Schizosaccharomyces pombe: one gene and its partner. Changing the gene in region 2 together with the main gene of any one other region gives a genetic interaction. Each region holds a gene or a part of one and is shown on either strand. Other genes may lie near its edges.

Region 1 (3,855 bases), 870 kb from region 2:
CACGGGTTCCTTCTTTGAAGAGTCTTTCGATTTCGACTTTAGGGCATCTGAGGTTTCCAATTTTTGGGATTTTTTAGAGGGAGTTTCTCGATTAACCAAAGTATCCTTCTTAGTGTTCTTTTGTTTCTGCCTCTGTTTCTGTTTACCCAACTTAGTAAGCTTAGACTTTTGAGGTTTGGTAGCTAATTTTTTATCACTTGAGACTAAAAAATAGTACGCAACGTAAACAGTAGCTATAAGAAATGCCCATCTAAAGAAAGCCTCCTCATAACCCATTCTTTATCTCAATGTGGAATAGTGTAAGTAGAGCAACCAAATGGCAGTCCAAGCAAGCGCCATAATGTATCAGGGAATGCACAATGCTACTTAACGATCCTTGATATATAGCACTATATGTTAAAAAATGTAAACAATAAGAAAATGTGATTTCAATAACAAAAGGTAATTATATTGTTTAACATTGAACACATTTGACAAAAAAAACTAATGTACTTGATCACACTACTAATGCTATTCTAAATTCGCTAAAGACTTGTCGCCAATAAAATTAATACACCAACGTATTCGCTTAAAAAGTATAATTAAAAAAAAAAATTGTTAAAATTTATTTATCATTATAGTAACTCTGATTTTTACTTTTTTAACAAAACCACCAATAATGATTTTTGAAGCTTACTAGTACCTTAAATATTTTGTTCTATTAGGGGTGTGTTAGTAGTTTTGAGCAGAATTGAAATTCGAAATATCAATATATTTATAATTATGTAGGTGTTTTTTTACAAATATAAAAAAGAATTAAAAATAACTTATGACTTTTTAGAAAATATTCCGGTTAATTATTTTTTTGAAGATTAAACACAATCGTAAGTGCTCCAACTAACTTTTACATGGAAATAATTAAATCGACTTTCTTGAGCTAGTGCCTACAATCCTTTAACAACATGCTTTCAAAGCCCTGGTGCACTGTTTAACAGTTTCACATTTTAAGGTATGTTAAATCGTTCAATTGAGAATAGAAATTTGCCTTCAAAATTCTGTACTTAGTGAAAGAAGATGCACTTGTTTACAATAAATAAATATTTAAAAAAATAAAAAGCAATCTTCCAGTTCTCAAAGAGGAATATAAGTGTCTTTGAATTGCGTTCTTTATTATTAATAAATTGGCTTTCGTTTAAGAAATCGAAGCAGCAAATTATTACGTTAAAAGTCAGTCAAAATTTGTCGTGCATATTTGTTAAAAATTCAAAAACTCTTTTGTTCTCCTTTTGAAGAATGTTTATCAAATGTTTATTTTTCTCGTTTTCCTCTAATATTGCATCCAATTCATCAATTGAAACATATTTACGTTCATGCAACAGATTACGAATAAAAAGCAGCTGATTTTGAATTTTTGCATCAAGAAGGATAGCATTCAGTTCACATACTTCAAACGGGTTCGAGTTAGGACGTTCGTATAAAGGACTTAACATCTCTACCAGTGAATTCAAGGTACCACTTAAACATGTCAAAAGTGTTCCGTTACTTTTTTTCAATTCGTTATTTAATCCTTTTAACAATTGAAATTCATCGTTATTCACCCTACTGTTAAGGAAATTGGAATTTTCATCATTCTGTTGCAAAAATGAAGCGGTCTCAGGTAGTATGGGGGCATTTGTGTTTTGCTTAATAGGCTCTTTAACGATTAACATACTATTTAGGTTTCTTCCTTTTCGAGCTTTCACTAGTCCATAGTTACCTTTCAAAGTCTCCATTTGTTGCTCATGCTGGCGTAATGAAACAGATAATTGATTCTTTAATGCCTTCAAAGTCAATTCATTTTTAGCATTTACATCTTTCAAACCTTTATTTTGTGTAATTAATTCAGCTTGATCTCTTTCCAGTGTTCTAACTTTATTCAGTTGCAATTGACATTCGTTTTGATAAAGCTCCAACTCATTTTTGAGCCGTTTTATTGTATTGTTATCTCTTTGCTTTTCATATTCATTATTTTTAATAGCATCAAGAAGAGATTCCTTTTCTAAACGTTCTTCGTCAGTTGCTCTTAATAAACGATATATGATGTTCACTATGTTGCAATTATCACGAATGTCATGAGAAAGGCGTAACTTTTCAGCTTGTATTACTCCTTTGGAAAATAAAGATTTGTTAATATACAAAAGGCTTTCTTCTATATTGCTGGGGTTGCAAAAAACAATGGGGGTGGTCATCTTCCAATGTTTACACTTATTAATGCGGTGGTGAAGAAATAATGTAGAACATCCTTATAAAAATCATCTATTGCATAGAACTTAAAACAGATTGATTATTAACTACAAAGAATCTAATATTATTTTTAATTCATAAACATTAAAAAAAAAAAAAAGTAAGCCGGAAAGCCAAAGAGGTATAAATACCGATTTTCCCAACATTTCTAAATTGTATGCACTAATAAGCCATAACAGCTGACCAATAATCCACAGAGACAGACAAATAAGTCCCTTCTTACTTAAAAGCTTAGAGTTTGGTAAAACCAGAGGTAGAAATACTAGATACCACATAAAATACTAAGTTGTTAGTATAATCCGTCATTCTTCTAATTTCAAACTTAACATACCTGACTGGTACAAACCTTATTAAAGGTTACAAATGCAAATGTTTGGGCAAATAGAGTCCCAGGTAAATTCTTTTTTCCAAAGACCAAGGGTATTAGCATGCACAAACTTAACTGCGGCAGAAATGCAAATAAAGAAGACGCTTTTGCTCCGAAAGATGATTCATAGTATAAGTTTAAATGATGTAGAGAGAAATTATGTCGATGATCTGTTCTACCAAAGTGGTAAAGATATGTATGTTCAAGGAATGGAGACCCGTAAAGGTAATACATCAATAAATTACATATCGTAAACATAAACAAAGAACCAACAACAATCTTTAACTGATTAATCGATAATAAAGATAGAAATTTTTCCATGAAAGTGGACCCTTTTTTTGGTTTTGAAAAATATACTAAGAAAGCAATCCCATACATAAATGGGTAAATTTTAAAATGCACAGAAAACCCAAGTATTAGGCTAGCTAGCCAAACTGATTTTTTTTCGATCAAATACAACAAAGCAATGCTCAATATACCAAGAATGGCTTCACAATTCCCTCGAGTACTGATTATGGCGACGAATGGGTTCAATATCCAGAAGGAAGAGTAAATTAACGACCTTTTGTAAGATATCCTCCTAGATAAGAGCTTAATCATAAGCCACCCAGCAATTAAGTCTGATATTGAAAACAAATATTTACCCCACGACGGAAATCCGTATTGAGTAGGAAGAAGCAAAATTGCCAACATTGGAGTATAGCGATATGTGTCACGCATATACGGTGACATTCCTATGGAGACATATTTTGATGCGTCCGAAAACACGAAATAATCGATGTCCGTAAATTTAAGGGCAGATCGTCTATCATGCCAAATACCATAATTCAACAATACAAGTCTCATCAATAGACCCAATAAAAGTAAAAGAAATGCATCAGTAGGCGCATATAGGAGATATAAACTACTTTCACGTAATTTGGTAATCATATTTTCACGACTATTGTACTTTGACAGTAATTTCATAGCTTTTGCATAATGGATAAGAGCTTCACGAGCACTTGTATTGAATAGACTGCAAACTTTCACATCCAAATCAATGAGATATTTTTCATCCTGGGTTAAACGATATTGCAAGCAAGATTGAATAAAGCACTGAATTCGCAAATATTCTTTATCTGAGACACTAGTGTTTGTCCATTCAAGCAAAGAATTGGTAACTCCAGCAGCTAGTAAAGAATATGCCTTTTCATAATTTTGAAAGTTGTATGATTGAATACCTTTGA
Region 2 (4,709 bases):
AAAGAAACTGCCCGTATGGAGGCTGAGATCTTTGAGCTCGAACAGCGAGTTGCTTTAGCTAAAGAAGCTAAATCAGTGTTGGATAGCTGGGTTCATCACGAAGCCAACGTTCGCGCTGAACAACAGGAACGTCTCGTTGAAGATGTCTTGGCTCGTGTCAACAGCAAAGTTTCTACCCAAAAGTTCCAACAGGATGCTCTCAATGAAAGTCTCGGTGAAATCGAAAAGGTCTTAGCTAGTGCCTAAATTGTTTTTTCGAGGGACATAATACGATAAGACAGCTGCAGTTTTTTTCAGTCATATTTGATTTGCATATATGCTTATTAGCAAAAATTTGCGTCATTATTGGTTTTCAAATTGCATTCACCGATTAGTCGAAGTCATTTGAACCTAACAGTGTATATCGTCCCCGCTGCTTTCTTTTATTTTTATTTTCTTTGATCCTAAACCCCCTTCTCTATTTTGCCTAGTTGCAGCTCTTACGAATATAAACATTTTTAGTGATATCATGCTATTTACCTGTACCGCTCTGTTTTAGTAGTACACTCATTTTTTTCGTAAACATATTATTTAACCGTAGTTTTTAATCCTAATAGAAATACTTAGCTTCACAAATAGCTAAATTGAATTAAAAATAGAGGGTAAAAAAAAGAAATACAAACCCAACAAAAGCACCAGTAATGGAAAACAGAATTTGTCTAAGTGAAACATGTAAATAATGTGCGCTTCGATTAGAACAAAAAAAATTTTTTTAAAATTAATTTAAACGTTACATAGCCATATCTTGAGAATCAAATTTAAATTCTCCTTGAGCTTGAGGGCCATTGCCAAATGTGAAGGCGCCATTTTCGGTTTCAGGTGCCAAATCTTCAACTGCGTCCTCGTCACTGAAATACTTTTCAATGATGCTATACGCTTTCAAATAAATATCGTTATTTCCGGAGGATTGCAAATCATGGATCATATCCATACCGCCAGCTTCCTCAACGTAGACAGCGTATTGATTAATGTTTTCAAGATCCATAGTTCTGTCCATCTCACCAACTTTAAGTATGTTTTCAATGGCATCGAGAGCAACTTGAATAATTTTATTATCGGATCCGTTCAACATATCGCAAAGTGGCTTAATAACGCCTTGTGACACAAGGTAACGAATTTGGTCAGGCTGACCGAGACCGCCAGAAGTAGCATTAGAAATAGCCCAACAGGCTTCTTTTTTTGTTTTGTAGTCGGCATATGAGAGTAAATGGACCAATGGAGGTATAAGATTACTTTCAATAATTGCTTGGATTTGTTGGGTATTGCCAGCAGTAATATTGCTAATAGTCCAACAAGCTTCCTTACGAATGTTCTCTTTTTGATGACTGAGAAGACTAGGGAATGCATTGAGAGCACCGCAATCGATTATGATCTGTGTTTGCGCGTCAGTACCTGTTACTATATTCCCCACAGAGCGAAGGGCAGGAGTTTGAATATTAACGCTGGGAGAGCTCAAAAGTTCAACAAGCCTGGGCGCACATCCAACGTCTAAAATGGCGCCAATTTTTTCGTTAGGTCCATCAGAAAGATAGGAGATGGCCCAGCACGCGTCAACAATAATCTCAACGTCTTCAGAATAAAGGAGCTTAGCAAGGATTGGAACGGCTACAGAAATAGTTGACCAGTTAGGTGGTGGATTTTTGCCTCTACACAAGTTAGAAAGTGTCCATGTAGCGTTACGGAGCATAGAAACATCAGAAGCGCTACTCTGAAGAATATTAAGTAAAGGCTGTAAAACTCCGTTACCGAGTACATAGTCACGGCAGGCAGAAGAATCGCCAGCTATGTTACCGAGGGCCCATACAACCTGCTCACGGACATCTTTTTCAGGTGAAGAAAGTAATTGAATAAAACGAGGAACAGCGCCGGAATCAACAACAATACGGGTTTGATCTGTGGTACCACTAGCGATATTTGTTAAGGCCCAAGCCGCTTCAAATTGAAGCAAGTGATGTTCACTTTCTAAAAATTGTACGAACCGGTCAACAACACCACAAGCAATTACCTGATCAATAGGGGGATGCGTCTCCTTAGAAAGATATTTCCTGAATTTCGTGACGGCACCTAATTGTAGCTCAATGTCGTCTGACATCACATCAGCTGTCAATTTAGGAAATTCATCTTTCATTTGTTGCTCCATTTGAACCTGAGACTGATCAGCCTCCTCTTCCACATCAATGTCATTTTGTAAAACAGCGTTTAAATTCCTTCGTTTATTCAAACTTTCCTCACGTTTTTGTTTGCGGATTTCAATTTGCTGTTCTTCACGTTGCCGACGAAGTTCATCAGCTTTGAAAACACCTTTGCTTTTAAAACGGCTTCTTCTATCTGATAAATATCTCGATTCCATTTCTATAGGAATAAACTTTTTTGATATCCTTTTTACTCTTTTTTTTTTAGTTATCTAAGACAGTTGTGGTTGCTGCGAGTTTAATGAGAATAAGGAGGTAAAAGAGCACTTGTGTCGTTCCAAGAAGCAGCCGGCACCCAGGTAACAATGTTCAAAAATAATAAATTTAGAATAATTTGAAATATATCATTTTCCGGTTCAAATCGTTGAAACTTTCTAGATCATTTTTGTTCTGTCATTGGAAACCTTCGCACCATAAAACGGGTAAAACAACATGCTTATTGAGCTCATCAACCAATTTTTCTTGGGTTTTTAACAAGCTGAATGCTATAACAAGAATTCAAAATTTAAAAACAAATGGAATTTTTCTTTAAACAACCTGTCAAGTTGGCCTATTTTTATTTTTATTTTGATTATATAATACATATAGTTGAGCAATTTAATCTTTGAATAAATACTTATTTTTCAAACACTTCCGTATCTGTTTTGTAAGCTATTAATATGTATACATTAATGGTCCATTGTCTAACTAGAATTTATTTGGTAGCTATTATTAATATATATATTTTTTATTTTTTTTGTGATAATAAAGATTAATTCGGTATTTATATAAATTTAGGAATTAACTTAACGGCGCTTGAAAACATATTATCGTCATTCAGTTAAAATGCTCTAAATCATATACACTATAGGAAGTAATCTAATTATATAACATTAACTTTATTAATTCACAAAGTAATTATGAAGACCATATAAACGAAGCTGATAAATCTCTATATCCTTGTTTTTTCCATACATTATTTCTTTCCTTCAGTTGTATGCATCATTTATTTATACTAAAAATTATTAATAGATTGACTATTTAAAACCAGAAACGAAGGAAACAGAAGAGATAAATAAAGAAAGAAAACCAACGATTTCATAAGAGCCAATGAAAACAATATTGCTGTTATAAGCAACCGAAAATATATTTAACATCTGACACATATCCAGTAAAATTATAAGAAACATTTTCTTGCATATTATTAAACCCAAATCCCAAATGACCAGAACGAAGTCTAGTGATTCAAAGCTTATGACTTTGACAAACCTTTGAATGCAACTTCATCCATTTCTTTTTTTACTTTCTTATATAATTCCATCGTTGCTTGGGCATCCTGGACGGAAGAATGCTGTCCAGATTGAATGTCACGCCCAAGAATCACTTCAGCAAGTTTTTTAAGCCCTGGTGTCCTTCCCTTGGCTAATTTCCGATACCCAGAAAATCTGCTGGTATCACGAATCATTCTTCTTGGATGCGATAAAAGTAGTACTTTGAGATCGTTATGGACAGCATGTCCAACCAATACTCGATTGTCGAGTATCTTAGCAACTTCTGCTTGTACTTTTTCAAATGAAGGTGCATCCCGCATGTGAAATGACTTGACACCACTGACCCATGTTCTCCAATCCGTAACCTTTTCTTTAGGACGGACATAAGTATCATACACGACATGACCATGATAATTAACTATACTGACGCGTGCAAGAACTGACATGTCATCTGCCACCCCAACCATTTCACAATCCATTGCAATATATTTCCCCAATGTTTCCAAATTGGTTTTTCTGGTAAGCTTGGAAGCATCCACGCCATATGCGTCAAGGACTTGAGATTCAGGGATATCATTTTCCTTAGCAAATTTCTTTAATTCATTCATGCGTTTTTTATCGACGATATAAGAATTCTCATTCTCATTGTTTTTACCTTTCACACTTTTAAGGTATTTCTTTTCATTAGAATGCTTTTTTTCAACCCGTCCACTCTTAGCGCTGTCGAGTTTCTAAACAACCAATACCGTTAGTATACTTAAACAAGAATCTTAAATGACTTAATGGAAACTATAGCCTTTCATACCTTCTTTAACTTTTCCCAATTGGAAGAAGACATTGCTTGTGCATAAGAGCCAAAGTTGGTGCAAGAAGCAATTTGCAACCTCTTTCAATATGATTCTCAACGCGGTATCACAAATATTTTATCACATTTTAGCACATTTCATTATTTTGAATAAAGCGTTGATGATAGTACGTTACGTTAAGTATCATTATATAAGTCACATGCCTTGTATTTATTTATCTATAGTATATATACATATATTGACAGTGATGCACCATTTGTTGCTTCTTGATGTAACTACTGCCAAATATACGAGACTATGAAATAAATTAACCTCCGTTCTTCGGGTCACCAATGAGCTATTTCAGTGTGTACCCACTTCGTAAGAATATTATAAGGTACCGGTGGTTAATGCATTTCCTAATAAAAGAATATTGTGAATAT

The links.
Region 1: mutations in imp1 (region 2) and msd1 together harm fitness more than expected from each alone (negative genetic interaction), as found in Schizosaccharomyces pombe (one large-scale study listed by BioGRID).

Annotation. Positions count from the first base shown.
Region 1 is NC_003423.3:3,048,932-3,052,786, reverse strand, and holds msd1 (microtubule-anchoring factor Msd1), read right to left. Parts: upstream 2,237-3,855; 5' UTR 2,208-2,236; coding exon 1,212-2,207; 3' UTR 828-1,211; downstream 1-827. Other genes in the region: SPOM_SPBC13E7.07 (uncharacterized protein), read right to left, coding at 1-276; gpi14 (pig-M family mannosyltransferase), read right to left, coding at 2,310-2,543, 2,594-3,855. UniProt on the Schizosaccharomyces pombe protein: Has a role in meiosis.
Region 2 is NC_003423.3:3,914,306-3,919,014, reverse strand, and holds imp1 (importin alpha family nuclear import signal receptor adaptor Imp1), read right to left. Parts: upstream 2,461-4,709; 5' UTR 2,390-2,460; coding exon 770-2,389; 3' UTR 501-769; downstream 1-500. Other genes in the region: F0-ATPase subunit atp4, read left to right, coding at 1-246; exoribonuclease Rex4, read right to left, coding at 3,463-4,212, 4,287-4,319. UniProt on the Schizosaccharomyces pombe protein: Functions as a component of the nuclear pore complex (NPC).